Linked DNA regions of Ovis aries. The protein of the gene in region 1 purifies or fractionates together with the protein of each later gene. This does not show direct contact. Links are inferred from orthologs where the notes say so. Each region holds a gene or a part of one and is shown in the gene's direction. Other genes may lie near its edges.

The links.
Region 2: the proteins of MTMR2 (region 1) and MTMR10 purify together in Homo sapiens (affinity purification with mass spectrometry; 5 studies listed by BioGRID and IntAct, with this or other methods). This does not show direct contact. The link is inferred for Ovis aries from reciprocal best matches to the Homo sapiens genes MTMR2 and MTMR10.
Region 3: the proteins of MTMR2 (region 1) and MTMR12 purify together in Homo sapiens (affinity purification with mass spectrometry; 5 studies listed by BioGRID and IntAct, with this or other methods). This does not show direct contact. The link is inferred for Ovis aries from reciprocal best matches to the Homo sapiens genes MTMR2 and MTMR12.
Region 4: the proteins of MTMR2 (region 1) and SBF1 purify together in Homo sapiens (affinity purification with mass spectrometry; 6 studies listed by BioGRID and IntAct, with this or other methods). This does not show direct contact. The link is inferred for Ovis aries from reciprocal best matches to the Homo sapiens genes MTMR2 and SBF1.
Region 5: the proteins of MTMR2 (region 1) and SBF2 purify together in Homo sapiens (affinity purification with mass spectrometry; 3 studies listed by BioGRID and IntAct, with this or other methods). This does not show direct contact. The link is inferred for Ovis aries from reciprocal best matches to the Homo sapiens genes MTMR2 and SBF2.

What each region holds. Positions count from the first base shown.
Region 1 is NC_056068.1:13,956,490-13,962,793, forward strand, and holds the start of MTMR2 (myotubularin-related protein 2), read left to right. Parts: upstream 1-2,291; 5' UTR 2,292-2,450; coding exon 2,451-2,530; intron 2,531-3,890; exon of another isoform or gene 3,891-3,972; intron 3,973-6,304. UniProt on the Homo sapiens protein: Lipid phosphatase that specifically dephosphorylates the D-3 position of phosphatidylinositol 3-phosphate and phosphatidylinositol 3,5-bisphosphate, generating phosphatidylinositol and phosphatidylinositol 5-phosphate.
Region 2 is NC_056071.1:25,228,640-25,234,906, reverse strand, and holds the start of MTMR10 (myotubularin-related protein 10), read left to right. Parts: upstream 1-2,339; 5' UTR 2,340-2,543; coding exon 2,544-2,782; intron 2,783-2,825; exon of another isoform or gene 2,826-3,152; intron 3,153-3,318; coding exon 3,319-3,379; intron 3,380-6,267.
Region 3 is NC_056069.1:41,495,848-41,501,674, forward strand, and holds part of MTMR12 (myotubularin-related protein 12), read left to right. Parts: intron 1-1,216; coding exon 1,217-1,310; intron 1,311-4,935; coding exon 4,936-5,065; intron 5,066-5,827. UniProt on the Homo sapiens protein: Acts as an adapter for the myotubularin-related phosphatases. Regulates phosphatase MTM1 protein stability and possibly its intracellular location. By stabilizing MTM1 protein levels, required for skeletal muscle maintenance but not for myogenesis.
Region 4 is NC_056056.1:225,704,340-225,710,642, reverse strand, and holds the start of SBF1 (myotubularin-related protein 5), read left to right. Parts: upstream 1-2,278; 5' UTR 2,279-2,436; coding exon 2,437-2,491; intron 2,492-6,303. UniProt on the Homo sapiens protein: Acts as an adapter for the phosphatase MTMR2 to regulate MTMR2 catalytic activity and subcellular location. Promotes the exchange of GDP to GTP, converting inactive GDP-bound Rab proteins into their active GTP-bound form.
Region 5 is NC_056068.1:42,587,301-42,593,127, forward strand, and holds part of SBF2 (myotubularin-related protein 13), read left to right. Parts: intron 1-468; coding exon 469-596; intron 597-1,745; coding exon 1,746-1,979; intron 1,980-3,090; coding exon 3,091-3,195; intron 3,196-4,589; coding exon 4,590-4,783; intron 4,784-5,443; coding exon 5,444-5,531; intron 5,532-5,827. UniProt on the Homo sapiens protein: Guanine nucleotide exchange factor (GEF) which activates RAB21 and possibly RAB28. Promotes the exchange of GDP to GTP, converting inactive GDP-bound Rab proteins into their active GTP-bound form.

The sequences.
Region 1 (6,304 bases):
ATTTGGAAAACTTGGCAGTGGCCACAGGACTGGAAAAGGTCAGTTTTCATTCCAATCCGAACGAAAGGCAATGCCAAAGAATGCTCAAACTACCGCACAATTGCACCCATCTCACACGCTAGTAATGATCAAAATTCTCCAAGCCAGGCTTCAGTAATACGTAAACTGTGAACTTCCAAATGTTCAAGCTGGTTTTAGAAAAGGCAGAGGAACCAGAGATCAAACTGCCAACATCTGCTGGATCATGGAAAAAGCAAGAGAGTTCCAGAAAAACATCTATTTCTGCTTTATTGACTATGCCAAAGCCTTTGACTGTGTGGATCACAATCAACTGTGGAAAATTCTGAAAGAGATGGGAATACCAGAGCACCTGACCTGCCTCTTGAGAAACCTATATGCAGGTCAGGAAGCAACAGTTAGAACTGGACATGGAACAACAGACTGGCTCCAAATAGGAAAAGGAGTACGTCAAGGCTGTATATTGTCACCCTGCTTATTTAACTTCTATGCAGAGTACATCATGAGAAACGCTGGACTGGAAGAAACACAAGCTGGAATCAAGATTGCCAGGAGAAATATCAATAACCTCAGATATGCAGATGACACCACCCTTATGGCAGAAAGTGAAGAGGAGCTAAAAAGCCTCTTGATGAAAGTGAAAGTGGAGAGTGAAAAAGTTGGCCTAAAGCTCAACATTCAGAAAACGAAGATCATGATATCTGGTCCCATCAGTTCATGGGAAATAGATGGGGAAACAGTGGACTCAGACTTTATTTTGGGGGGCTCCAAAATCACTGCAGATGGTGATTGCAGCCATGAAATTAAAAGATGCTTACTCCTTGGAAGAAAAGTTATGACCAACCTAGATAGCATATTCAAAAGCAGAGACATTACTTTGCCGACTAAGGTGCGTCTAGTCAAGGCTATGGTTTTCCAGTGGTCATGTATGGATGTGAGAGCCGGACTGTGAAGAAAGCGCAGCACTGAAGAATTGATGCTTTTGAACTGCGGTGTTGAAGACTCTTGAGAGTCCCTTGGACTGCAGGGAGATCCAACCAGTCCATTCTGAAGGAGATCAGCCCTGGGATTTCTTTGGAGGGAATGATGCTGAAGCTGAAACTCCAGTACTTTGGCCACCTCATGCGAAGAGTTGACTCATTGGAAAAGACTCTGATGCTGGGAGGGATTGGGGGCAGGAGGAGAAGGGGACGACAGAGGATGAGATGGCTGGATGGCGTCACTGACTCGATGGACATGAGTCTGAGTGAACTCCGGGAGTTGGTGATGGACAGGGAGGCCTGGCGTGCTGCGATTCATGGGGTCGCAAAGAGTTGGACACGACTGAGCGACTGAACTGAACTCATCTAATCTGTGAAGCTGGTTTCCTGTTTTACAGATTAAAAAATTAATGTTCCATGCCTTGGATTACACTGCAAATAACTGAGAGAGGCAGGATGTGAATCCACTAACTTTAAAGTAGGCTTTGCGTGCTTAGTCGCTTCAGTCGTGTCTGACTCTGCGACCCCATGAACTGCAGCCTACCAGGCTCCTCTGTCCATGGGATTCTCCAGCCAACAGTACTGGAGTGGGTTGCCACTTCCTTCTCCTAAGTGAAGTCGCTCAGTCGTGTCCGACTCCTTGCGACCCCGTGGACTGCAGCCTACCAGGCTTCTCTGTCCATGGGATTCTTCAGGCAAGAATACTGGAGTGGGTTACCATTTCCTTCTCCAGGGGATCTTCACGACCCAGGGATCGAACCCAGGTCTCCCGCATTGGAGGCAGACGCTTTAACCTCTAAGCCACCAAGGAAGCCTCCTAAAGTAGGCTTTAATTATGATTTAAGGAACAATTACTTAATCATTTTCAGCTCTTGACATGATGAGTATTTCGCCGTCTCACCTCTCACAGCCTCATCCTTTACGCGAACCTGTGTTCAGGTCCTCCCCTCCTCATCCCCCACGTCCCTCTGCCTCTCATCCTAGGGTTTGCCCACATCCTTTATTATTCTGTTCTCTTCCCCGACCCCCACATTCCCGTCACAATCGTCCCCGTCCTTAAGGTCCTTGTCTTCAGACCCTCGTCCGTAGTACTCGCTGCTTCATTATTTTTGAAACGGCCCCTCCTCCTGCAGCCCCGGCTCCCGCCGGCCTCAGAGGAGCCTCGGCCCTCAGGCGCCGTCACGCGCTCCGCGGCCCCCGGCGGCCGCACGGGGTGGCGGCGTGCGAAGCGCGCGAGGGCGGGCGCCCCCGGGGCGCCGCGGGCTCCTCCGGCTCCCGGCAGCGCCCGCGCGCGGTGCAGGCTGGGGGAACATGGCCGCTTCCGGTCTCCCTGCCGGGCCGGCGCGGGCTTGAGCGCGGACCCAGCCCGTCGCACCCCGCCCTCCGCTCCTCCCGCCGGGCAGCCGCGGAGGTCGCCGCAGGCTTTTCCTCCGGCTGCCCCCGCGCCGCGCCATGGAGAAGAGCTCGAGTTGCGAAAGCCTTGGCTCTCAGCCAGCGGTAGCACGGCCGCCCAGCGTGGACTCCCTGTCCAGGTAACCGGGGCCCGCCGAGCGCCCGAGGGGGATGAAGTGGAGCCCGGGACCCGCTGGACGGGGCCCCACGTCGCGGGCTCCGGGACTGGGAGGCTGCGCCGGAATTCCTTCCCTCAGGCTGGGCACCTCTTCTTTCTTCCTCTCTGCGGGTTAGATGCTGGGAAAGAGGAGGTTAAAACTCTGCGGTTCTTCATCGGTCTTACCTTTTGTATTCTGGTGTTTTTATCTGCGGTCGAGAACGCCTCAGTCCTCTACATCCTCTAATCTCTCATTTCCCTTTAATTCATTTTTTGGACAGCCCTTCCCCAACTCTGTCCCCTCCCCCCTTCTCCTCCCTGCCTTTCTCCCTTGACGACTCTTCTGAGACCCTTCTCCAGTCTTTTTTCCATCCGTCTTTCAGTCTTGGGTTTCTGGCTTCTTGCCCACCCTTTCCGCTCTTTCCCGTCACTTATTTTAAGGTTTCCTTGCATTCTGATCTTCCCCCCTCCCCCCAACTTTGCTTTAAAATGTGAGTACCCACACCGTGAATCTTCCAGCTGAACGTTATTATTCCTGAGTAATGAGTGGTAGTTTTCGTTCTTCCTGGGCTACCTACCGGTTCTCCAGGTTTCCATCTTGTATCAGCTGGGATTTTTTTCCCCCTGGAATTTTGAGGAGGATTTTACTATGTAGCTTTTCGCAGGGCTGGCGTGAATATTAACTTGACGTGTTTCAAAGGCAGGTTTTTCCTGTTGTTTTAAAATAGTAAATTTTATTAAGCAATAGGAAGACCTGTATTGTTATACTGCTACATTGAAATCAGGTTCTTTTCCTTTGAAAAAGTCTAGTTGTTATTAGTTATTAGATACTAAATCGCTGTAAACTAGCACGTTTCATTTTTTTTCCCGTGAATAAATTGGAATTATTATTATTACTAGTTGCTCAGTCGTGTCCGACTTTTTGCGACCCCATGGACTGTAGCCCGCCAGGCTCCTCTGTCCATGGGATTCTCTAGGCAAAAACACTGGAGTGGATTGCCATTTCCTCCTCCAGGGGACCTTCCCAACTGTACATAAAGGATACTTCATTAATGTGCATTAGAGGATACCACAGGTTAACTGTCATAGAAAACTGTCTCTTGAGCCTTTAAATTCTGTTGCTCTCTTTTAATTCGTTTTGGACTCTGCTAAATATGGGTGATACTCCCTTTTTTTTTTTTTTTTTTCTGTTGCTGTTCAGGACCTCATTGGGAAGTCAATCATTACTTGATCCCACCTTTCTTTATTAGATTCTCTTCCTAAATGTGTTCACAGCAACCTGCCCAGCCCTTTTACAGTGTTTTTAACAAGCACAGTGTTGGTTTAATTGTCTTCTCTACTAGACTGTCAGCTACTTGAGGACAAGGATCATATCGTATTGGTTTTCATATCACCATCATTTAACAGAGACCCTGCCTGTCAGAGGTGCTTAATAAATTTTATTTTTTGAATTTGTAGTTTGAATTATGCCGGAGAGTGATTTTGCATTTGATTATATACCACTAGTGTGCATTTGTTTCAGGTGCTTTTTAGGTTTATTGCTCTGAAATTTAGGTCTTCCCTGGTGGCTCAGAAGGTAAAGAATCTGCCTGCAATGAAATTTAGAAGACTGGGGGATTTACACTCAGCTGTAAAATCATTCAGAAAGCAGGCTGGAAAATTATAATTTTACGGGAAAGTTACAAATGGCAACTATGGCTCAGGATAGATAGAATGTAAAGAAAACAAATGAGACAGCTGAAGTAATCTCATCCAAGGGAGGATCTGGAACCACAGGAGGCAGCATACTCTTGTTAGAAAGAAGTACTGGCTGTCAGGAGGCTCAGGCTCTTTAGACCTAGGCTCAGTTTGTCATTTGGCCTGTCTCATTTAACCTCTCCAGTCTGTGGTTTTTTCATCTTTTGAAATAAGGCAGGGGGAAGGGAGAGTTGATCTAGAACATCTGTAAGGTCCCTTTAAGCTTTAAAAAATCTGTCAGTTCTGTATCTTAATGATAATAACCTTTGTTTTGAATTTTTGAAATTACACTAAATGTTTAAATCACATAACTAGGTTAGTTTTGCCAGTTAAGCACATTTATTTAGTAAAAGAAAAAGCCCAACAACTTGAAAGTTTATATGTTTATATTTTAACTTCTTAATGAAACATTAGGTTACATATGAATATGGGAAAGTTAAGAATTCCTTGAATTTTGACTGGAGTTTGTTGGCTTCATCCTCTCCAGACAAAACTATAAGTATGGCTCTACTTTCACAGGAAAATGCCAGCTTTCAGTCCTGTTCTCTAGAAAAGAGAAAAATAATATTTATTGATTGTCTATAGAATTCATCCTGCTAAATTCTTTCATATCTTTTATTTTGTGAATAATTACACCTATTTGTGGCACTCTCTTTAATCAACATTATAGGATAGCTGGATTGTAGACACTTGTTAGAAAGCTTAATTTTATACTTAATTTAGGGTCGCAGTCAATCATAGGTGCTTCTAATACAGAGGGAGGGTAGACAACTATGGTTAGTTACAACAGCAATGTTACGTAACTACCCAGATTAGGTTTACTACTTTTGTTATCCTATGATTAAGTGAAATATTGGTGTTTGAACTGTATTATTTCAGGCTTTTGCAGAACTCTCATTCTTAAATTGTAGTTCTGCTTTCGTTTTATACAATTAGAAAATTCTCATTTTCTTATTTTCAGTTAGGAAAATTGCTTTGTGAAATTACTTTGATATCTCTTGCAAAATAATAGTTAATAATTCTATTCAGTGTATTACAGATTGTGATTTGCACACTAGATTACCAAATTTCTGCTGAGTTTAGTTTCAAGGGAAATTTTGGTTATGTTTTCTATTTGTTTCAAAATGGAAATTATGTAGCTGCATCTTCAATTCGGCAAAAAGTCTTCAGTCAAATTTATAACTGAAGTTGGTAATATATTCATCTTTAATTCCTTCAAATACTCCTACTATTAGATGGAGCCAGCTTAAATATTATGTTTAAATGTGTTAATTTGTAAAATGTTTTATACTCTTCTGGGAAGTAGGAAAAATATAAATCTGTAAAATAGTACTATAACCCTTGTGGTTGCCCATTGTTTTTTGGAAAATGACACACTCAATTTAGGTTGAGTGATTGGCTCTTGTGGGATCTGTGGTTCACACTAAATATATGTTAGTTTTAATATCTATATATCCACAATCTATGTATATCTATAAATCTGGAGTCAGCTCAGGATTGCTATTGCTTCTAGCTTTGCCTTCTAGGTCATTATAAGCCTTATATCTTTGTTCACAGAAGAGCAATTTCATTCTTAATATGATATTTAGATAGTAGTTTCTATCAGCTACAGCTGATTAGCAATTATGTCATCTTGCATGCTTAAGCTAATTTTCTTTGGTGAGTCCTGCTTGGTATTGCCTACTTGAGTGAGTGGTTCAGCAGCTCTTGTATATCCTGCTGTTGCCTTCATCACACATGTCCTGCCCCACAGAGAGAGCGAGAGTTGTGGAAAAAAATTCATTTCAGCACACTGATTATCTGACTGTATTCCAGTTGGTCTTGCTCTGATTTTTGTGGTCAGAGTATTGATAAAATAATACTGTGGGCTGGATACGGCAGCTAGGGTAGACCTGAGCTTCAGAACTGTAGAAGTTATACAGCAGAATTTAACGCTATACTGATATTCATCTGGCTGCTTAGTCTGTTTTTTTCCATCTTTCAGTTTGTACACTGTTAGAGAATGTACTGCTTAAGTGGG
Region 2 (6,267 bases), on another chromosome or scaffold:
CACTTAATAGAGTTGTAGATCCTAAAACTTGTATGGCAAAGCCCAAGTCACAGTAAGCCATTTCAGCATAAAGATCCATACATTCCTTGCAAAGCGTGTGTGGGAAAACAATCCATTTTGTCCAGTTTTATTAAAGTATAATTGACATATATCACTGCACAAGTTTAAGGTGTACAGTTTAATGATTTGACTTGCATATATTGTAGAATGATTACTGCAGTGAATTTAACTGGCATTCATCATCTTACATAAATACAGTAAAGAAAGAGAAAAAACCAGTTTTTCCCGTTGTGATGAGAATTCTTAGGATTTACTCCCTTAACTTTCCCATATAACATATAGCAGTATTACATTATTTCCCTAGTACTTACTTTTCTTATAACTGGAAGTGTGTAGCTTTTAACCACTTCTCTCCAGTTCCTCTCTCCCACTTCCTGCCTCTGGGAACCGCAAATATGATCTCTTTTTTTCTGAGTTTAATGTTTTTTTTTTTAAATCTATTTAATGCGGACGAATCACAGACAATTCATAAAAAGGTGTTAAATGTATGTGTACAGCAGTATATGTAATACCTATAACTCAATGGACTTGATATTTTAAAGTACAGTTGTAGAACCCGAGCAAAATGGAATCATATGTCACTCAAACAAGTTAACCAGAAAGATCATTGGGGTTCTGGATCCAAGATAAAATTTTTTTTTAAAAAAGGTAAATTTTGAAGTCTTATTTAAATTTTGTTGTTTAGTCAATAAGTCTGTCAAGTTCTTTTCGACTCCATGGACTGTGGCCCACCAGGCTCCTCTCTCCATGGGATTTCCCAGCTAAGAATATCAGAGTAGGTAGCACTTTCTTCTCCAGGGGATCGTCCGGACCCAGGGATTGAACCCACATTTCCTGCATCACAGATGGATTCTTTACTACTGACCCACCAGGTTGTTGTTCAGTTGCTAAGTCGCGCCCAACTATTTGCCATACCAGGCTTCCCTGTTCTGCATTATCTCCCTGAGTTTGCTCAAACTAATGTCCATGAAGTCGGTGATGCCATCCAACCATCACATCCTGTCACCACCACCTCCTCTTGCCCTCAATCTTTTCCAGCATCAGGGTCTTTTCCAATGAGTTGTCTTTTCCCATCAGGGAGCCAAAGTATTAGAACTTCAGCTTCAGCATCAGTCCCTCCAGTGAATATTCTGGGTTGGTTGATTTCCTTTAGGATTGACTGATTTGCTCTTCAAGTGACTCTCAAGAGTCTTCTCCCACATCCAAAACTTGAAAACATCAGTTCTTCACACTCAGCCTTTTTTATGGTTCAACTCTCACATCCAGTGCATGACTATTGTAAAAACCATAGCTTTTACTATACAGACATTTGAGCCACAAGGGAAGCCCTTTAAATTTTTCAGTGTTTCCATTAGGGACACTTGTCAGAAAGATTGTGACTCAGATGGCCTCACTGGAGCTTCCCTATGGCATTAATTATAAAATGCTAATTAGAGATTTATTCTTTAAAACATAAGAAAAACCTAGTTTCAATTAATAATTTACCAAAATCTAACATCACCAGTCCCCTTCCACCCAAGGCGGCTCCAGTTCGGAAACATGCTAGAGTTCAGAAATGCCCTGGGCTTCATAAGCTGAAGGTAGCTGATTCTTTGCAATTATTTCGTCCATAGCCTATTTGGTCCAAACAGTTAAGGTCTGCCTCTCGCTGGCCTTTTTGATCATTTATCTGCTCACTGGTATTTTTACACGTGAGGATAGCCAAGAAAAGAAAGGAAGATAACTTGCTTAATATGGAGTTTAATAAAGAGGGTAGAAGTTAAAGTAAACAGAGGCGTTCAGGTTGCCTGGCAACGTTCTCTGTCAACAGCCTCAGTATCCCACGCAATTCAGCAGGACACCTGAGTCTCATGGCTCCGTGCACGGACAGACACACTGGGTGATGGAAGGCACCGCGCTGACCGTCTGATCCCGGTCACTGCCCGCTGCCCCGGGCCGCTTCCCCGGTGCCCGATCCTCACAGGCTGGCCGCAGACTGCGTGACCGGTCCATCTCGGGCTACAGGATCCCCTTTCCCCGCTCTGGGCTCCTCCTGACTACGGAAAACACCGATCGCGCGAGCTGGGGAAGTAGCGAGCGGCGTCCAGGGACCTGTCGTGATCCCCGCCGGCCTCCGTACGTCCCCATGACCCCCACGGATGGCCTCCGTTTCACACGCCGGCCGCCGTACGTCCCCGCGAGCCGCAGTGACCCCCGCGGGTAGCCCCCGTGACCCCAGGCGGCCGCCGTACGTCCCCTAGGCCGCCGTGGACCCTGCCGGCCGCCGTAGGAGCGCCCCCACTCCCGCCCGGGCCGCGCTCTCAAGATGGCTCCCGGGCCTCACTGCCCCCCGGCCCACTCACTGAGGGCAGGGCAGCGGCGCTCGGCACAAGCCTCGCGTTCCGACGCCGGCGCAGCCTAGAGGCTAGGAGCTGCCGGCCGCCGGCCCTGCGCGCGCCGTTTCGCGGGGCGGGGCGGGGCGGGGCGCCGGGCCCCTTCCGGGGATGGGCCCGGGCTCCTCCCCGCTCGGGCGGGCGCTCCGCCGTGTCCCCGCCCGTCAGCCCGCCCGGTCCGGCTGGCTGCAGACCGAGCCCGGGCAGTCGCACCAGGAGCTCTCAGCCCGCGGGCGTCGGGAGGCGGGTCCCGGGCTGCGACCGGGCCGGGCCGAGCAGGCGGCCGCATCATGTTCTCGCTCAAGCCGCCCAGACCCACCTTCAGGTCCTACCTCCTGCCGCCGCCCCAGGTAAACAGTCGTCTCCCCGCTGCGCCCTCTTATCGCGCTTCCGGGGAGCCGCGCGCGGGCCGGCCCGGGAGGCTGTCCCGGACTCCAGACTCCGGCCCCGGATTCCGTTGCGGGGAAGCCACGCTCCAGCGATCCCCACCATCTCGGGGGAAACTTGCAAAACTCCGCCGAAGCCGTTGTCGGCTCGGAGACGGAACCCCAGGGAGCGATCGAACCTGGATTTATTTAGCCCTTTGCCCAGCGGCTGTCCACGCTGTGACCGCCGGCGGGATTGCATCGCCTGCGGGCTTCTGGAGGGAGGGGTCACCTACCTGTCGTAAATGTGAACACCTTGAGGCACCTCAGGCGGTTGTACAATATTGTTTTTTAGGTCCGACTCCCAATACCTTCACGAACAGGAGTTTAGTAAAAATGTGAAAGAATTTAAGGGGGGGGATACGTGCCTGTCGCGTGTGATCACTTAGGAAAAAAATTTGCCTTCTCTCACGGAGTAGGGGGGAATTTTTATTTTGATTTGTTTTGCTAATGTGTTTCAGACTGACGATAAGATTAATTCGGAACCGAAAATTAAAAAACTGGAGCCCGTTCTTTTGCCAGGTAAGCATGAGAGTTCTGGCAGATATTTTATTTGACAGATACTGGCCTAAGATTATTTTACCAACTAGTATCATGTGGTTAACTTTACTCATTTACTTTAAACTTCAGCGAGTTAAACACCTAACAACTGTGGAGGGGGGAAAAGTTGGTTAGAACTAAAGGACAGCAACAAAAAGTAATGATTAATTGATGTTTGTCCTTGAAAATTGAAGTATCATAGAAAACTGTCAAGAATGTCATTACCTCATTTTCTTTTTGTCTCCTGAAATGTTCTTTTTTTAAGCACTCATGAATTGCTTAGGTAGTGAGAGGACACTGTCCTTCATACCCATCTGCAACTTCATGTGTTTGTGGTTAATAGATCATTTCAATAGTATGAAAAGCAACTTTTATTATGTCTGAGTCTCTGTACTAATAACAAAACTTAGTGTACTTTGAATCACTTACTTGGCAATTGTTTTTTTGAAGGTGTCAGCTGGCTGTGTTTGCAGATCTCCTTGTTTCAATTTAGAATGGAGTTTTCCAACCGAGACACTCCAGACATTTTGGGCCTGGTCATTCTTTGTTTTAGGGTTGTCTTGTGTATTGCATGCTATTCAGCATCATTCCTGGCCTTTACCCCCAGATGCTAGGAGCACCCCCTCCTCTACCTTTTGTGAGAACCAGAATGTCTTGCCAAACTGTTTTGTCAGGGGAACTCTTAGTGCAAAACTTTCTCTCTGTGGAGAAGCACTGGTTTAGAACAAAATTGACCTTAAATGACCTTAGAGGTATCAGTAAGAATTGATGGTAAATTGTTATATGCTTTAGTTTTAATGCATATAAGATATTTGTTTGACTGGTAGTTTGAATTGTATAGTAATTATATGATAGTTAGGAAAAGTCAGTTGTTTAACTCGATTATTGGGGAAAGTAACCAGAAAAGCCCATTTTAAACCTGAAATGCAATCAAATACCAGTCTGTGTGGCTACTATCAACATTTTAAAATCTCAGTCATTACTTAATTCTAAATCTGGTAAAATGACTAGAGCTCTATAAGTAGTAACTGAACAAATATGGAAACTTTAAATTTTGTGTTGTAAAATTTTAAATGTTAAGTGAAAAGTGAAAGTGAACGTTGCTCAGTCGTGTCCGACTCTTTGCGACCCCATGGACTATACAGTCCATGGAATTTTCCAGGCCAGAATACTGGAGTGGGTTGCCTTTCCCTTCTCCAGGTGATCTTGCCAACTCAGGGATCGAACCCAGATCTCCCACATTGCAGGCGAATTCTTTACCAGCTGAGCCACAATGTTAAGTAGAACAAACAAATTTAAAACATCAACCTTTGGTTCCATGTTACAGATGTTAACTTTTAAAATTGTTTCAACTTAATTATGGAAGTTAGTTATAAATGTTTTCTCTTTATTTTGTTAATGCTTTTTAGCCAAACTGCATGTACTAAATAATCCTTTGCACTTGTCCCCAGAGTGAAGAATAGAATTAATAAGTAACCTTTGCTCCTTGTGCGTGATCTGTTTTGGCTTTAGTCACTCTGGTCTTTTAAATGTCCCTGCGGCAAGCAGTGCTCATCCTGAATGAGAGCCTGTGAGCTACTGAACTTTGGCTCCTTTTGCTCTGACTGAGCAGGCCCTGTTCTTTGATTCCCTGCTTCCAATACTTGATTTGATTTGACACTAATAAACCACATGGTCTTAGCTACAAATGATACAGCTTGATTTTCAGTAATTAACTTCTGTGTTTAAGATATGCTTGTGAAAGTGTTGATACATATCAGTAAGCTCTAAGAACTTTGTGTGCTTAGTCACTCAGTTGTGTGCAACTCTTTTGTGACCCCATGGACTGTAGCCTGCCAGGCTTCTCTGTCCATGGGCATTTTCCAGGCAAGAATATTGGAGTGGGTTGCCATGCCCTCCTCCAGGAAATCTTCCCAACCCAGGCATCAAACCCAGGTCTCCTGCATTTCAGGCAGATTCTTTACTGTCTGAACTACCAGAGAAGCCCAAGAATACTGGAGTGGGTAGTCTATCCCTTCTCCAGGGGAACTTCCCAACCCAGGAATCGAACTGGGGTCTCCTGCATTGCAGGAGGATTCTTTACCAGCTGAGTTCAACTAAAAACTGGTTCAGTTGCTAAGTTTTGTCCAGCTCTTTACGACTCTATGGATTGCAGCACACCAGGCTTCCCTGTCCATCACCAACTCCTGGAGCTTGCTCAAACTCATGTCCGTTGAGTTGGTGATGCCATCCAACCATCTCATCCTCTGTTGTCCCCTTCTCCTCCTGCCCTCAATCTTTCCCAGAATCAGAGTCTTTTCCAATGAGTTGGCTCTTCGCATCAGGTGGCCATAGTATTGGAGCTTCAGCCAGCATCAGTCCTTCCAGTGAATATTCAGGGTTGATTTCCTTTAGGATTGAGTGATTTAAGCTCCTTGTAGTCCAAGAGACTTACCTTTCTGTTAAAAAGTCAGAGTTTTCTGGGGAAGATGGAAACCTGTTTCCTAACTGTCAGTGGTTTACTTGTCTTAGAGATCACGGCTCAATCTGGATCCTCTTAGCCATAGTAGCATTTTTTCTTTGGCTCTGTGTGTGCACACATGATGGCTTGACACCCAGCATTCTGTCTGCACCTAACCTGTTCCTCACAGAACACTTAGTCCTAAATTAGCATGTCTTTCGCCCTCCTTCCCCCTCCTGTTCATACCTTCTCCTGGCCTTCCACCTCTCAGGTTGCATCTCTGACTCCCGCTAGAACCTCTGCGGCTCTGTTTCTGGCCTGCAGCCCCCTGCCTTCCACCTGTGAATCGTGGGAGACACGTGGAAAGTAACTGCAGCATTGGTGATCTAAAGACCTGGGCTAGCTTAGGGCTTTTACTGAGAGAGCTTAA
Region 3 (5,827 bases), on another chromosome or scaffold:
GTTACAAGGTTTCTCTTAAGATATTGAAGGTCTCAGACTTGCCACTGTCACAGTAAATGCATCAGGGAAAACCTTTAGCGAGAGGTCAGTTTATCAGTTGGCTTTGGCTACAGTGAGTTATTAGACATTCTTTTTAGATATCCCCTTAATCTTCTTTCAGGTAGCATGGGAGTTTGGTTAGAATAATAAACATGACCCCAGTATTTGTTCTGAGCAGAAAAAAGTGGTATAGATACGGAAAATTCCCTAAGAAGCAAGAAACTTCCATTTGAATGATGATTTTCATCATCTGTCCAAATATACTTTTTGTTTGGAACTTCAAACAAAAAGCATGGTAGATTGAGTTCCTTATCTTCTAGAACGAAAGAAAGAAAGTGATGTCGCTCAGTCGTGTCCCACTTTTTGCGACTGCATAGACTGTAGCCTGCCAGGCTCCTCCGTCCAGGCAAGGGATTTTCCAGGCAAGAACGCTGGAGTGGGTTGCCGTTCCCTTTTCCAGGGGAATCTTCTTGACCCAGGGATTGAAGCTGGGTCTCCTGCATTGCAGACAGACTCCTTACCATCAGCCACCATGGGAAGGCTGTCTTCTAGAAGAAGATCCTTAAGGCCATAACACATAGATCAGAATAGCTCAGTGTCTTGATTATTATCTGATATCAGCTTTACATCTTTAGAAAGACTCCCCTGGTGGCTCAGACGGTAAGGAGTCTGCCTGCAAGGCAGGAGACCCGGGTTCAATCCCTGGGTTGATGGTATCCCCTGGAGAAGGAAATGGCAACACACTCCAGTATTCTTGCTTGGAGAATTCCATGGACAGAGGAACCTGGCGAGCTACAGTCCATGGTGTTGTAAAGAGTCAGACATGACTGAGTGACTTCACTTTCTTTTACTTTACATTTTTGACATGTCAGATTTTTGGAGTGTCTGAATATGGCACTTAAGTTTTTTTTTAGCACTTTGTCTTTGATAAATTAGATTATGTCTTAAAAATTTCCCTAGAAATTCAAAGCTCTTAAAAAACCTGACAAAATAGTTAGCATTCTGTTTGTGTGGCATTATTCCAAGAGATAATATCACAGATACAGACCTCAATGAGAGTTAGCATGTTGCTCAGCGGAGCCCATGGGCATTACTGAAAACCTAGACAACTTGAGTCTTGTCTCTCAGTGTTTACTTGCCAAAAGCATGACTGTATCCATTACTTGGTTCTTTGTAGATTGTCAGTGGCATAATTCATCATACCCAGGCCCCTAAACTGCTTAAACGATTGTTTCTGTTTTCCTACGCGACTGCAGCACGAAACAGCCCAGGTAAGCTTTCATCCGCAGTTAGGCAGGACCCTTCCAGTTCCTACCTGCAGCTCATGGGAGAAAACCCATCCGTGGGTTTTTTTCCCCATCTTTTCTAGCAATGGGTCACCTCTTACTTGGGTGATTGATTCAAAGTTCTTCTTTTAAAAAAGGTTTCTGTTTCTTTCCTGTGATCTTTGTTGCTTTAACTTATCTTTTAGGTTTGTTTGCTTTTTGTGAAGGATTATTTGATGGGTTCTTATGAAAGATTAAAATCAATAAATTGTCATTGGAAATGTGAGACTATAGAGAAAGAAAATTGAGACAAGTTTAAAATTACCCTTTCTGTCCCTGGGTTCTTTGTTCCACTTTCATAGGCTTGATTTCATTTCATAAGACCCTACAAAAATGTCTTGCATTCTAGAAAGTTTTTAAACAGCCAGAACATGCTTTATAGCAAATATTTGGGGATGGGGAAGAGAACACTTGTACAGAAGAGAGCACATCTGAAAACCAGTTTGGTTCGAAAACTTGAAATTCCGAATGTTTTCCATTTGGTTCCCTGAAAAAGAGAGCAATCTTTTTAGTAAGAAACTGTGGTCATCTGAACTAGCTATTAATAATGCCCAGTGTTGTACAGTGATTCCACAGATGTTTGTCTTCATCCTTCTCTGGATCTTTCCCCTCCATCTGTTCACTTGCTCTTCCCATTCCTTTTTTTTTTTTAATTCCAAATTAGTATTTTAATTTTTTTTCCTTCCAGTTTTACTGAGATATAATTGACACAGCATGTATAAGTTTAAGGTGCACAGCATAACGATTTGATTTCCATTGTCATGACATGATGCCCACAGTAATTTTAGTGAACGTTCATCATCGTACATCGACATGATATTCAAGAAACAGAAAAATTTTTTCCTTGTGGTCAGAACCCTTAGGATTTACTCTCTTTAACAGCTTCCATACATAAACGCACAACAGTGTTAATTGTATTCGTCATGTTATACATTACGTCCCTATCTGCCCATCACTCTGAACGTGAAGTTGGTGTTGACCAATCCCGTGTGCCATGAGCTTTTCTTCAGGGACATGACGTGTCCTGCCTGCACATGTCACGCTTTGTGGAATGCAGAGTTGCTTTGTCACCAGCTGCTCACTTGGTAAATGTTTCTCGAATGCTTGCTATGGGTCAGGCACCCTGGAAATATGAACAGGACTAAATCTCTGCCCTCTAAGACATTGAGTCAGGGAATTCCCCACTGGGCCAATAGTTAGGACACTGTGCTTCCACTGCAGGGGGCCTGGGTTTAATCCCTGGTTGGGGAGCTAGGATCCTGAACACCACACGGCACAGCCAGAAGAAGAAATAAGCAACCAGTCAGAGTGTTGTGTGCACTGGTGGAAGGGACCAGCCACGCTGGGGAGGGAGGGCTGTCAGAGGGCAAAGGTCGGGCCTGAGCTGCTGGTGGAGATTGTATCGGCACTCAGGAGTGTTTGAGGAAGTGAGACTGGCGTGTGCAGAGATGAAGCTATCTGGGAGAGCAGGCTGCATTTGGGGAACTGTGGTGATCGTGAAGAAAAGGTGTGAATTTCCAGGTCTGTCCCTCCTGAGTTCAAATCTTTGTCCAGCTGCCTAGTAGCGTAGACCCTGGGGATGGCGCTTAACTCCTGAGGCCTCTGTTTTCTCATTTAAAAAACAGTAGTGTTAATGCTTCCCATGAATGTTTTGAAGACTGTAGATTGTTAAATGCACGGCACATAGGGTACAGTCATTGAGTGAGGGTTAATTGAGAGTGTAACTGCTTATTCAGGGCAGATACTGCCCAGAGAATTACACTGACATGAAAATGTACTCAGCACTACTAGTAGTCTGAGCCCAAACCTTGTGCCGTCATGTAGTAAGTTCCTGTCTGTGAATGATCTTTTCACGGTAGCAATGCGTGTACATGCTGATTAGCTGGGTGCTGGCTGACAACAGCGTGTTGCAGTATGAGCTATACAAAATACGACCTCTTTGTTGATTGCTGTACTTCGTATAAACATTTATTGGGTCTACATGTGAAAATCATACTGTTTTTAGGAGCTCTGCCTCTCCCTTGTATCCTGACTCTTGGTCTGGACCAGCACAGGACATATCCCAGCTCCCCAGCAGGTGTCGATCTGTGTGCCAATACCCTTACCTTGACTGACCCTGGCAGTTTCATTACCTTATGGAGATTTTATTTTTGTGCCAGAATGTCCAGGCTGTGTAGCATCTTGTGTTCTATTCAAATTCCAGCATCCTTCTCTTCTCCTTCCAGCCTTCTTTTTTTGATAAAGTAAAGGTTATAACTGAGAGGTGCAAGTGGACCAGTTTTTTTGATCGTGTAGGGGTTTGTAGAAATGGGTGCTTTGCAATCGGAACATCTTTCATTCTTCTCAGGTTTAATAATACACAAATGTACTTTGGCTGAAAGGTCCTAAATGTTTGTGACCTGGCATTTTAGGAAAGAACTTATCTGTGTTGCTAAGAAAATGACCTAGTATGCTTGAATAGGAATATTGGTATTACTCATGTCTGTGGGGAAGTTTATTTGAATCTGTTAACCTTATGGGAAATTTATGCTGCCTAGGTTTGAATTCCAGTTCTGCCATTGCCTAGCTGTGTGACCTTGGACGAGTTAATTGACCTTTCTGTGCCATGCCTGAATGACGGAAATAATATTGCCTACCCTGTAGGGTTGTGAGGATTGAGCACATGAAATGTGCTCAGAATAGTGCTTGGCATCCTAAGTGCTATATAAGCTTCACTACTGTTGTTGTTGTTTTTTTAATCATTGTTTGTATTATCATTCTTTGTACTATGATGTGGTTTTATTAAAAGGAGCAGGTGGGCATTTAATTTAACACTTTGTTTTCCCCAGAAGGCTTGCTTTTAAAGATGTGCACAGGTTGGAACGAACTGATCCGTGTGACCACCCAAGGGTGTTTTGGTGCATGTCACCCTCATCAGGCGGTGCTGTGGGGAGGACCACGGGCACACCTGCTGGGCTGCGTGAGCAGCACTCCTGAGCCCTTGCTCCTTGCAGGGAGTGGCAGGGTGAGGGGCAGAAGTCCCCATCAGCGAGATGTGGCCCTTGGCCTATGGGCCCCGACCCTCGACGTGGCCATCTCCTTCGTTTGTGGCTTTCAGGAGCCAGGTGTCACACTGAGGACTCCTCTTCTTGGCAAGGAGGCTTTAGACTCAGGAATCTGACATGCTGTTCAAATGAGTTTGCCATCTTATGCACACATGGGTAGGGCTAAAAATATTTTATTATTTTAGCATTTGTGCCAAGCCAGTCTTTTAGTGCTTCACGGGATCTTTTTTATGTTATATAAATTATCTCATGGTCAGATGACTGCAGATGGAGCTATAAATTACTTTTGCAAGGAATGGAACGAGAACAGCTCCTTTCCCCTGGTACAAAGAGACAGAGCCTCGCTTATAATTTTGGATGAATGACAGAAAGAAAGGAACAAGGTTAGGATGAAGCAGTGAGTTCATTCTGCAGGGATAAAAATGGGCTTTGTGGAGGAACTTGGGGCCCAAGGAGCCACTTTCACAGCGTTAAAACACCAGGCTTCACAACAAAATTTTACTGTCTTTCTCCATTTGTTTTGTTAGCAACGGACCCCAAGAAGCACGCCGTAATGTTTGACACACTTCAGGACTGGTGTCGGGAGCTGGAGCGGACCAAAGGCAACATGAAGTACAAGGCAGTGAGTGTCAATGAAGGCTATAAAGTCTGTGAAAGGTAAGCTCTCGGCACCATGCTTTTCTTTTTGGCGGATTTGTTGAGATTTAATTCACGTGCCTTGTCAGTTCATCCCCGTGATGTGTATCGTGGTTTTTAAAAGCACATTCACAGGGTTGTGCAACCGGGTGTGCTCAGCTGCTCAGTCAGTCGTGTCTGACTCCACGTGACCCCGTGGACTGTAGCCCACCAGGCCCCATGTCCATGGAATCCTCCAGGCAAGAACACTGGAGTGGGTTGCCATGCCCTCCTCCAGCGGATCTTCCCGACCCAGGGATCCAACCTGCGTTTCTCACATCTCCTGCAGCCATCACCCTGGTTGATTTGAGAACATTTTCATCATCCCCAGAAACCCCCATATCCCCACCCACCCGCCCCAGCCTTAGGCTGCCGCTCATCTACTTTCTGTTTCTGTAGGTTTGCCTGTCCTCAGCAGTTCGCGTAAATGGAGCTGTGCAGAATGTGGCCCTCGTGCCTGGCTTCTTTCACTGAACACAAATGTTATCACAGCTCATCCATGTCATAGCAGATATCAGAATCTCATTCTTTTATTATTGCTGAATAATATTCCATGGTGTGGATGTGCCGTATTTTATTTATCTGTTCATTAGTTGAGGGACATGGAATTGTTTTCACTTTTTGGCTCTTATGAATATGCTGCTGTGAACATGAGTATAAGCTTTCATATGGACGTACTTTTAGTTCTCTTGGGTATATTCCTAGGGGTGAAATTGCTGAGTCATATAGTAACTGCACATTTAA
Region 4 (6,303 bases), on another chromosome or scaffold:
ACAAACAAGACGCGGCCCAGGGAACTGCAGGCGGCGGTGTGCTGGCGGCCGCGGAGGCATGCTTTGGAGAGTGTCCATGGGGCAGGAAAAGCCAGGGCGGCTTTGGCTGCGTAGACGCGTCTAGTGAGGTTTTGTCTGAGTGTCTTAAGGTGGGAAAGACTGAGCTTGATCCTGATGGTGAGGATCCTAGAGAGGGAAAGATGAGGCAGGGCACCGACAGCAAACAGCCAGAGGAGGGCAGGGGGCAGGAGGGGCCGAGCCTCTGTGTAACTGCGGCCGGGGGGGGGGGGGGGGGGGGGGGGGGGTGAGGGCCAGACTTGGGGTGATGCAGGTCTGTTTTCTCTGTGAAGGAGGCCAGCAGGGCCATCTCTGCGACACTGGAGGGGGCGCCAGAGGCTTGAGGAAACTGCAGAGTGACGCGCACTGGCCAGATGTGGGCTAGCTGGGCGGCAGGGAGAGCAGTGACCTGCAGCTGGGGCCGGGGTGTCACGGTGCGGGGTCACTCTGCACCAGATGCTGCTACAGGCTGGAGGAGACGGGTGGGCAGGACTGTGCGTGGCTGGGATTTGCTAGTCGGGGAGGTGGGGGCGAGGGTGTTGGCAGGGTGACGGGCACTGGAGCCATGCTAGGTGGGGGTGAAAGGACAGAAAGGGAGCCAAGGGGCCCCAAAATGAGAGGGCGCGCCTGCTGCGGGTGGGGAGGCGCAGACCCTCAGGAAGGGAGGAAGCACCCAGAGGGGGACAGGTACAGGGTGCTAGCAAGAAAGCTGAGCAGGGGTATCATGCTCTGGAAGTGACCCTAACCCTACCCTTGACCCTAAAGTGCCTCTGAGACGGCTCAGGGAGTGGGCTCCTTGCAACAGGGCCCAAGGGTGGGGGAATATAGGGGGCAGGGTCCCCACCGTCTCTGCAGGAGAGCCTGTCCTGGGCTCAGGGGCCAGGCCAGAGGGCTTGCCAGGGACACTGCCTGCCCATGCATGAGCTCAGTGGCGTGGCAGTGGTGGCCAGGACCTTTTGGGATAGAAGTGAGAAAAACCAACTTCAGACAGCCGGGGCAGAAAGGAGGGGTTCTCATCCCAGGACTCAACAGCAGCAGAAGAGGCTGTGACAGGCCTGTGCCCAGGGCAGGGCGGGGGCCCAGTGGTCTCCTCTTTCAGCCCTCTCTGGCTTGGGTTTTCGGGGCTCCCATTTGTGAGGGCGGGCAGGACCGTCAGCAGTCTGCTCCTTCACAGGTTCTCAAAGTGCCACACTCATCCAGAAACGAGCTCCCCGTCCCAGCGAGTCAGCGGCAGCCCCGAGGCCCCCCCCACCGCGTGACGCCTCTCCTAGTGTCTGCCCGAGACTCTGAGTCCCTCCTGCCCATCCGTGTGGCATGCAGGGCCCGAGGGTGGGAGGCACTGCTGGGAACCTCAGCAGGGCAGCCTGCTCCCTGCTTTTCACAGCAGGGTGTGCGGCGCGCTGTTCTGAAGAAGATCAGCCCTGGGATTTCTTTGGAAGGAATGATGCTAAAGCTGAAACTCCAGTACTTTGGCCACCTCTTGCGAACAGCTGACTCATTGGAAAAGACTCTGATGCTGGGAGGGATTGGGGGCAGGAGGAGAAGGGGACGACAGAGGATGAGATGGCTGGATGGCATCACTGACTCGATGGACGTGTGTCTGAGCGAACTGCGGGAGATGGTGATGGACAGGGAGGCCTGGCGTGCTGCGATTCATGGGGTCGCAGAGTCGGACACTGAGCGACTGAACTGAACTGAACTGATGTTAAGCGTTTCGCCTCACTGAGACCGGGCTCCCGAGTGGGGCCAGAGCCCTCCTCAGGCAGGAAACCCCAAGGGCAGGCCTGACTGGGCCCCCTCCCTTGCCAGGATGGCGGCGTCCGGGACGTCCCAGGGCCCCTCCCAGTCCCGGAGGCCCGTGCGCAGGACTGCGCCTTCCAGTCTTCCTCCGGGCTGACAGCGCGGGCGGGGAGACCCTGGGAGCCGCGCGGGCCCGAGCCTGAGAGCGCCCGGGGCAGGACCCGAGACCCCACGGCCTGCGAGGGCGCCGCGGCCGCGGGGCGCGCTCCCACCCGGGCCGAGCGGGCCTGCGACCCGGAGCCGCCGTCCCTGTCACCGCCTGGGGGCGGGGAGAAGCGGAGCCCCGCCCCCTGGTGCGCGGCCCAATAAGGGTGCGCCTCTTCGGGCTCCTCCCACCCGGGGCGAGGCCCAATGAGGGCGCGCCGCTCTGTGCCCCGCCCTCCCGGGGCGGGGCGAGGGCGCGCAGGCGCACGGCGCGGCCGGGCGGGCCGGCGGGCTGGGAAGATGGCGGCGCAAAGCCTGGCGGCCGCCGCAAACCTACCCCGGAGCGTCCGGGGCGCGCGGGCCGGGGCCGGGGCCGGGCCATGAGCGCGCCGCCCTCGCGTGCCCGAGCCGCGGAGCCCGCCCGCGCCCCTCGCCATGGCGCGGCTCGCGGACTACTTCGTGCTGGTGGCGTTCGGGCCGCACCCGCGCGGTGAGTGCCGGCGCGCGGCCGCGGGCCGAGGGCCGGGGGCCGGGAAGGGGCGGCGGGGCGGCCCCGGGCCCGCCGGGCGCTCGCTGCGCCGGGCCGGCCACCCGGGGTCGGGGGTCACGGGGGCCGGCCTCCCCGACGTGGGCCGCGCGGCGTGACGGGGCGGGCCGCGCTCGCCGGCCGCCGTCAGGGCAGAGGCGGCCCGGCCGCGCCTCGGCGTCGCCGGCAGGCGGGAGGGCCCCGGGCGGCTCGGCCTGCGCCTCCCAGATGGGTGGGACGGGCTCCCTTCGCGGGGGCCGGCCGCCGGAGGGCTCTGCCTCCAGGGGCACGGGCCGCTCAGCCGGCTGCAAGCCCCTTCTCTGACCCCCGGGGCCGCCGGCCTGGAGCCTGTGGCCCCTGTGCCGTGTCTCAGGCCCAGGAGGCTGGGGGCGTGCAGACAGGGTTGGGGCTCAGGGACTGCTTCTTGGAGAGGCGGCGTTTGAGCCGGAATTCGGAGGACATCGGTAAGAACTGTGGGGAGGAGAGAGAAGAGTGTTCCTGGCCAAGGGCCTGCCCGCCAAGCCTGGGTGAGAGCGCGGCCTGGTGCCCGTGGCCGGGGGCTCCGTGTCTCGGATCACCACCTGTGTCTGAGAACCCTCCAGCCCAGGGGGTAGGAAAAAGCCTGACGATGACATCAGCACCGGCCGCGGAGACGTCGGCGTCGGGGAGCGCACTCCGTGTGCCAGGCCCTGCTCTGCCCCTGCGTGCACGAGTGCGCTTCCTCCTCCCGGCAGCCTGCGGAGGGCTCCGTCGTCGCCCCCATCCGAACGCTGCAGTCCGGGCAGAGGCTGAGCGCCTGGTCGGAGCCACTACAGAGGGAGTGGGACCCGCGCCGGGGCTCGCCCAGAGCCTCGCTGCGGCTCAGACCCCAGCTGCAGGAGGGCAGGCGCGGCTTTGGGGTGGTGGGGACGGCTGTGTGGTCAGGTTGGGGCTGAGCCTGGAGCCTGAGGGTGGGGTCAAGACCCCCATTCTACCCTGCTTCTTGACGCCCTGGCTGCCGCTGTCGCCCTCCTTGCCTTGCCTCTCCCGGAGCCTGCGCCTGCTGGGCCCCACCCTCCTCACTCCCTCTCACACGGGGGGCCTCTACCCGTCCTGTCCGCCCGACACCCTCGGTGTCAGGGACGGCGTTCTGGGCCGGGACCAGTCGTCCTCGCGTGCAGCCTGCACGTGGAGGCTGTGAGTGCCCCACAGGCCAGACGGAGAGCTGTCTTCTCCAGGACCCGTGGGGTGGGGCAGCGAGAAGGCTGTGCCCTGCGGCAGGGGGTGCACAGGGTCTGGGGCGACCGGGCTGGGTGAGGTGCGGCCCCAGCATGAGGGTCCCGGGACTGCATAAGCAGGGGGGGCTGAGGTCGCCGCAGGCTGTGCGGGGAGGCTGAGGAGGCAGAAGCCGGGGAGGCATGCTGATGGTGGCGGCAGCTGGAGTGCGTGTCAGGGGAGGAGAGGCAGCCTCGGCGGGCTCCACGGCAAGCTGGCGGCGGGCACCCACAGAGCGTGTGGCCTCTGAGTGGGCAGGGGAGAAGGTCGGTGCCACAGTGCCTGTCACCCTGAGTGACGGGAAGGAGTGAGTCTTAAGATGTCCCCTGCAGTAGGGCTGGGGGCCGTGGAACCCCCTAACCGCTACCTTCTGGGATTGGAGCTGGCCACCTGCTGGCTGGCCACCTCGCCTCAGGGCCTTCCTTGGCAGGACTGGTCCAGCCTGTGAGGAGCCAGCCCCCAGGCTGCAGCAGAGGCGCGCAGCCTGAGGCCCCGGCCTGGCCTCTCGGTGCCTCTGTGACCTCGGGCCAGTCTTTCGGCCCCTGCGCCGCTGTCTCCTCTTCTGGTGGCGGGATGAGTCACAGAGGCCTCCCCGCCAGCTGCCGTGAGCACGGTGGGGGGGGGGGGGGATGCACACACGCCGCGCTCACACAGGAAGCTCCAGGAAGTGACGGGTGTCTTGTTAACACCAAGCCGCACATGTGTGGACGCTCGTGGCAGTGGGCGCCTTTGCTGGAGCTGGAGGGCCCCTGCCTGCTGGCAGGCCTCGGCCTCGAGCCCAGGGCCACGGGGCCTTTGGGTTCAGTGGAGAGGGTAGGCGTGGTGGGGCCTTGTCCCTGCCTGGCACCTGGACATCTTCCTTGCCTGAGGGAGTATCCTGGTTTTGTGGGGCTACCTGACAGCAGGCTCTAGGTAGCAGGGCAGGGAGGGGCTGGGGTGGGACCTTTCCATTCATCTCAGAGGCTGCAGGCTCCTCTGCTGATGAGTTGGGGGCGCTCCTCACTGAGGACCTAGGTTTAGCATATTTTACAACCTGGCCCAGCTCTGGGGACATCATGGGGGCCAGAGAGCCCCCCCCCCATGCCCATTTCCTGGCCATGGTGGTCTTGTCTGAGGAGAGGGCTCTCCAGCCCTGGCCTCACTCCTGACTGCGCTGAGCTGGTCACCTCTCCCCACCCATGGCCCTGCCCCTCTTCTGGAGCAGGTCGGAGCTGTTTGGGCTGGTCGGGGCTGGGAGCCCAAAGGGTCCAAAGCCTCGGGTCAGAGCCAGGCCTGTCTGACCGGCAGGTTGGAGAGGCTGCGGCCCCTCTGCCGAGTCCTGCGCTGTGGCCTCGGGGGAGTGGTGGGGGGCCCTGTGTTGAGGTCTGGGGTGTGGACCAGCAGGAGGGTGCTGTCCTTCCGGCGGCCGGGCTGGTCTCTGGGCGTGAGCTCTGAGTGGGGGGGTGGCCAAGCAGGCTGCCACCCTCCCGTCGCCTCTGCCCCCAGCACTTGCTGGCCTGGGCTGGCCCGGGCATCGGAGCCTGGCACTGGTGCCGGCGTTGCTGGGGATGACAGACGCGCGCTCTGTGTTCCCCCCGCGGGGTTGGCTGTGTGGGGACTGGCTGCAGGAGGAAGCACTGCACTGCCTGTGTCCCAGGGGGCCTCTGTCCTTCCTCCCGGGCCCCGCTGTGCTGTCTGCGTTAGTCCTGTCACGGGTGGGAGGGGCGCCTCCCTTCTGTCTACCCGAGGTGGGGCAGGAGCTTCAGCTGCTCGAGGTCCCGTCCGTGGCCTCAGGAGCTGGGGTTGGTGAGGGTGCTGGGCAATGTGGCAAATACCCTCCATCCCCAGAATGCAGGCCCGCAGCCGTGCTGCACCTGGGCCCCTGTTGGCACAGAGTGGAGGTGTGGGCTGGGGTCTCAGAGGAGGGGGAGGGCATCGGGGAGGCCCGTGGCGCGCCCGGTGTGTTTGGGGCTCAGGAAGCTGCCCGCACGTCCCCCCAGGAGCCAGTCTGCCCGTGGGGTGGGAGGAGCAGCCGAGGCTGGTTAGCCCGAGGGCCGCGGGTGCAGGATGGAGCTTCTTGGAGGCCTCTCTGGCTGGCAGGTGCCCCAGGAACCCCAGAAGGCAGTGGCTGGGGGGTGGGAGATTCCTGGGTCCCACCGCAGCCCCTGTGCGTGGGCAGGGTTCAGAGAGCTGGCTTGAGGAGGTGATGGTCGTTGGGCTGAGGCCTGAGGGCCAGGTTTGGGGCTGGCGTGGCTCGGGAGGAGCTGGTGGGGGTCTGCTCACCGCCCCGCCGGCGCCCCAGCCCCCGCTGGCCCTCACCTCCGTCGTTGCAGGGGAGGGCTCTGGGTCTAGGAAAACCTGCTCTCTGAAGGCAGAGCCTGCTCCGGGAGTTGACACTCTGCATGATGGGGGGCCAGTGGCCAGTTCCTCTGCCTTCTGCCTGGGGAGGGGGCGTGGGGAGCGCCCTCTGCAGGCTGCCTGCCCCCACGCTGGGGGATGCGGGGCGGGGGGGGGGGGGGGGGTGGCAGGGGCTGCTGTCCTCA
Region 5 (5,827 bases), about 29 Mb from region 1:
AACTACCAAACAAAGAAAACACTTTAAATGGCTTCGTAATAAACAGCCAGCAACTTTATAAAGAAACATAAATTTTTGTTTTTAACTGAGTCTCATCAAATCATTTCCCTTCCAGCTTTTTGGAAAAATGTGTAGAATGTCTGCTGGCATGGACCTCTGTGAATCTAGATATAGACGTGGGATGTGGCCTGGGGGGGCGTCATGATGTATTGCTAAATACTTGGGAAAACTTCAGCACATGTTTTCCTTCCATTTGGATTTGTTTCCATATAGCTGTGAAGCCCATTCCTATCTTTAGCTTTGCTACAGTCCTTTCCTATCTCCTTAGTTATTTTCTAAGGTTTTTGCCCATGCAGTGATGTTTCTAGAGCCATACAAAAAGCTCCATTTTTCATCTGCTACATGCATCACATTATTAAGCAAACTGTTGATTTATTTGACTTTTGTTTTGCTGATTTTTTTTTCCAGGAACTTTATTTGATGATAAAGGAGACAAGCATGCCAAAAAAGGAATTTGTATTTGGGAGTGTATTGATAGAATGCACAAGAGGAGTCCCGTTTTCTTTAATTATTTATATTCACCAGTGGAAATAGAGGTAAAGAAAGCAAGCATTTATGTTGCATTTTTGGAATATTTTTGTGTTGAAGTTTTCCTTACGTTGAGCGTATATAAGCTGTTTAAGCTTTTTATAAACATTTGACTAGGTTTCATACCAGAAGTTATTTCAAAGTTGATACACTTTGGGTTTAGATTATGATGCAATGAAGTCTGTTACCAAATTCTTGACCAGAAAAATTAGGAGCTGGCCCCCTAGACATAGAGAGGATAACTTCAAGAAACTCAGAGCAAATCAACTTGCCCTGGAAAGGAGAACAAACAAAACTTAAACCCTCAGCATACTGTCTAAGCTGAAAAACCTAAAGTACTTCAGAAAAGACTTCCCTAAGTCCATTCATACCAGAGCCATGGAAGAAACCCTATGAGAAGCAGGAAGGTTGGAGCCCAGCCAAGAAAGTTGACTTCTCAGGGACAGCCATGCTCTGCCATGCCCGTCTACATGAAATAGGCTCTGCAGTGGAGCGGAGCTCTCCACCACCACTCACGGGCAAAAAGGCCAGACCCTGGGCCCCAGAACAATAGGACCCCACCTTGGCCTTTCTCCACATGCACCCTCCTTATGAGGTGTGTGAGAAACCAAGGGTACATGCTCAGATGCTCCTCCTTCATCTAGACCACACTCTGGTACTTCAGAATTCCTTGCCCAAATTCAAATTACTTGCCAGACCACTTCCCTAAGCCAGTAAGTACACTCCTAAGCCGAAGGTCCACTAAGGAGTAGCATTTGTCAGGGAGCAGACAGTTCATCTGCAGGGCTGGGGTATACGTGCCTGTTCGTAAGAGACCTTCAGAGTGCAGGACAGAGCTGAGCCAGGAGCAGCAGAGGTTTAGGCCAACAACTGGGAACTGGGACCAGCCTCCCCCAGTGCCGAGGAGTCTGAGAATTCTCAACTGAAACCTGGCCTTCTAGGTCGTTTGGAAGTTATATTTGTCAGGGTAGGAGGATGGAACACACTTTATCTAATAGTTATATTGATGTGTAATGTTTAAATATATAGACATATGTAATGAGAACCTCTGTTCATCCTCTTCCCTGGACCCTGCAGTGTCGGGGGCTGGCCTGCCTGTAAGCTTGGGCTACTTTGAGGTCAGGATAAAACTACATTTCAGAATTTTCTTCAAACAGGCCCTGAAGCCAAGTGTAAATGTTTCCAGCCTCAAGAAGTGGGATTACTATATAGAGGAGACGCTTTCCACAGGGCCCTCTTATGACTGGATGATGCTGACCCCCAAGCAGCTGCCCTCCGAAGACTCTGAGCTGGCCGGAGGAGCCAGGCCCCAGAGCCAGAGGAGAACCGTGTGGCCATGCTACGATGATGTCAGCTGTGCTCAGCCCGACGCTCTCACCAGCCTTTTCAGTGTAAGTCAGCCACGCAAAGCCAGACTCCCAAGGCTCTGGGCCCCTGAAGGCACGAGAGGCCTCGGGAACCTGGCTGAGTGAAGCCTGGTTCACCAGCTCCTGGCTAGCATTCTTGCCAGCACCGTAGAACATGTGGAAACCAGACCGGCTCCCCAGCATCCCTGGAGATCCAGGCACAGGGACTGGAAAACAGTCTCAGTAGAAGGGAGTTTTTCATCATTACGAGGAAGCATTCAAGCAAGTAGAACAGTTCGCAGCTTCCCGGCTGTTTCATCTGGCCAAGAGCCGGAGTCAGGCCTGGGTTATGACTTCTGTGGGTGCCTTACTTCCCCCGGTCAGAAGTGTGGGTAGCTGATGGTCTGATGGGAGTACTGCCAGCCGTCTTCTGCAAGTTATATTCTGGAGTGAAGCCACTCTGGCAGTAACCCCCATGAGGAGAGCAGCGGCCCTGAGGGAAGGGTTTGAGCCCTGACACAGGCCAGACAGTTCCTGAAGAGCCTTCTCCATTCAGTCTTCCCACCAGGAGAAGCGTGTGCGAGAGCGCCGTCACAGAGGCCGCTGCTCTGCTCTCAGTCTCCCTGGCCGAGGGAAACGCCAGGCTTGGGCATTTCTTGGTTCATTCTCCCTACATCTGGTTTGAATCATCAGAGTCAAGGGGTTTCTCTGTCCAGGACAGACTTCTCATCTACCTCAGCTATTAGGGTCTGGACATAGGCCTAGTGCTTGACCTTTTGCTGTGGCCATCAGATTTCCTATGGGCTGGCCAAGGGTGAAGGTGTTCGGATACAGATTTCATCTCTCTATTTAAGCCATCAGTACAAAGAGGCCCGGTTACAGATCCTAATAAATTATCTTTGCCACAGTGCATCACACCAGCTAGCACTCCCGCCACCACCATTTCTGGCTGGGAGGCCTCTGAGGCCCTGGGCTCACTGCTCAGAGGAGCTGTGGCTCTGGGGAGCATCGTGATTTCTGTGAAAGACTTGGTTGGCCAAGAAGTTCGTTTGAGTTTGTCTGCTGTTATGGAAAAGCCCAAACGAACTTCTTAACCAACCCAATACTTAATCTGTAAAAAAAAAAAAAAAAAAAAACCCTTTTAATTTCTCTGTAGGAAATTGAAAGACTGGAGCATAAATTGAACCAAACCCCTGAGAAGTGGCAGCAGCTGTGGGAACGGGTAAACGTGGACCTTAAAGAAGAGCCCAGAGCAGACCATGTGAGTTGGCAAAGCCCTTTGAAGAGCTGCTGCTGAGCTTCTTGAGGGCACTGGGTCAGCTGGGGCCTCTGCCACTCGTAACCCAGGACGTTTATGGCCAAAGAGAGGGGTCATGCCTTGAGGGTCCAGGGCAGAAATTTCCAAACGACCGAGTACTTCCTGAGTGTCTCACTCTACCACAGTGATATGATACTTATGTTCAGTGCCCTAAATCCGGGGGAAATTACTGGGTTTTTTCTATCTCAGCACCTCTGTGGTTTCAGCTGGTCTTCTGCCACAGGAGGGGAGGGAAGAAGGGAATGCCAAGATCTTGTTGGCTCCAGAGAAATAGGGAAAATGAAATATTTTAAAACAGTAAAATATGCCACTCTCTGTTGCTCACCCCCCCCTTTTTGTTTCTAAATTAAGAAACATTTACTGTAAAAATATTTTAATACCAAATACTCCATTTTCTGCTTCTCACCACCCCTTAAGCTGTAACATGTGGAATGGGCTGTGCTGAGCCCCTGAGCATCCACACCTTAGCGTCCTGTTAACCTGCAGTGAGGCAGTGGCGTCCAGCTCATGCCTGCAGGCTCAGGCCCAGAAAACACGGCTGATACACAGGGAGGCCACCGGCCAAACCCACAGCAGGTCGGCTCCAAGTGCAGCAGAGGGAGGTTAGGACAGATGAGAGCACTTGAGGAAAGGAGAGGTGAGCAGGGTCAGATGTCACAGAGGGGTCAAGGAGAATGGAGTATAGAAGAAAATGTCCTCGGACCCTATAAGAAGGGGTCCTTGAGGCGCCATTTTTTGCCTGCAAGTGGCAACTCAGGGGCTATTATCAGACAGGCCACAGGTGGATGAAGTCTTACTGCTTTTTTTCTAAGAATAAAATAGTTTGTTAATTTTTTTGATTATGAATATGAGATATATGTATTCCTTTAAGTATGTATTTCCTTTATAACACAGGAAGTTATAAAATAGAAATCACCCAAAATTTATAACATAGAAATAAACCACTATGCCTTCAGACTTTTAAACACATATATAAAAGGGATTTACTATAGACGTAGTTTTTAAACCTGCTTTCTTTTTTCCTTAATATATGGCATGCGTGTCCTTCCATTTGTCGCATATAAATCAGCATCCTTTGTAACAGCTGTCTAGAATTCCGTTGTTCAGAAATTTTTTTTTTTTTAACTAGCCCCATAATGATCAACATTTAGGTACTTTCTAGTTTTTCGCTATGTTAAAAAAAAAAAACTCCAAGGTAAGCATCCTTTTATACATATTTTATATAGACATAAATATATGATCCAGTTTCTTTCTTGAGGTAAATTTTTAGAAGTGAAATTACCAGATTAGCTACTTAAAGTCTTTGTAAAGCCTTCCTACCTCCTGTTCTTTTTCAGCCCCAGAGATACCCTTCAGGATCCCCAGGAACTGTGTCCACCAACCTCCCTTTTTATCAGAAGAGGCCTCAGCTCCACCTTCCAGAGAGCAACGTGGCAGAAGAGCAGAACACTGGTGTCCCCCCATCCAACGGGGTGGACCGCAGAGCAGCCACGCTGTACAGCCAGTACACGCCCAAGAACGACGAGAACAGGTAGATGCTGTGAGCCCTTCCAGGGGGTGCAGCAGAGGCTCTCCCAGCCCCCCTCGAATCAGCTGGGCCTAGGCCGTGCCACGTCTATCAACTTAAAAGGGATCCGCTTTAATTCTTTGTTTCTGTTTTAAATGTGGTAGATGGTTCTTGGAAGAGGAAAAGTCAAAATTATAACTAAAACAAGGCCGGAAGGTTGTAGTTTTTTGTGGCGGGCCCTACTATCTCCTATCTGCCTGGTCTTTTGAGGGAATGTGTGTTAGTGAGCACTTCTCCAGTGGCAGACTTCTGAGATCCAGCACATGCTCGACCAAGCAGAAAGGAATTTACTCACATGAGGTGAGAAGGCCAGGATGCACCAGTTTCTCACAGTACCTTCAGGCTTCTCTCATTCACCAGCTCTGCTGCCTGTACAGGCTGCGTGAACCCCAGCGTGGTACAAAGGATGGCTACTGAGAGCTCCAGACCTCACAAGCTTGGCAATCCCAGCAGAATGAGGCAGTCTTTCCCTGAGAGTCTAGTAGAGGAATTCTGGGGGGAGCTCCGACTGATCTTTTTTGGATCATCTAGGGGAAACAGAGTCTTGACCAACAAAAACAGCAGATATTGCCTTTACAGCACGTAGTAAAATCATATTAACCGCCATGTCATCATTACTTCTAGGTCCTTCGAGGGAACGCTGTACAAAAGAGGGGCTTTGCTGAAAGGCTGGAAGCCCCGTTGGTTTGTTTTGGATGTAACAAAGCATCAGGTAATAAACACCATCACAGCCTGTAGCAGTCACTTCTCCCTAGGCGAGGCTCCGTCCCTGGCTGTTGTGTGACTCCCAGCAGACACGCAGAGCCCCCATGCACAAAATGCTTCCCTGAGGCTTCTCACCAGCTACCTGTGGGCTCCTCTGTGGAGCCAGTGAGAGGGCACCTAGCAGCCCTCTGAGAAAGTGCGGGTGTGTGCAACAGAGGCAGTGACCAGGCGCCCAGAGCATCAGGAGCAACAAAACTCTGCTTTCTAATGCTCATGCATCTCCTGCTGCCTGCTGTCCACAAC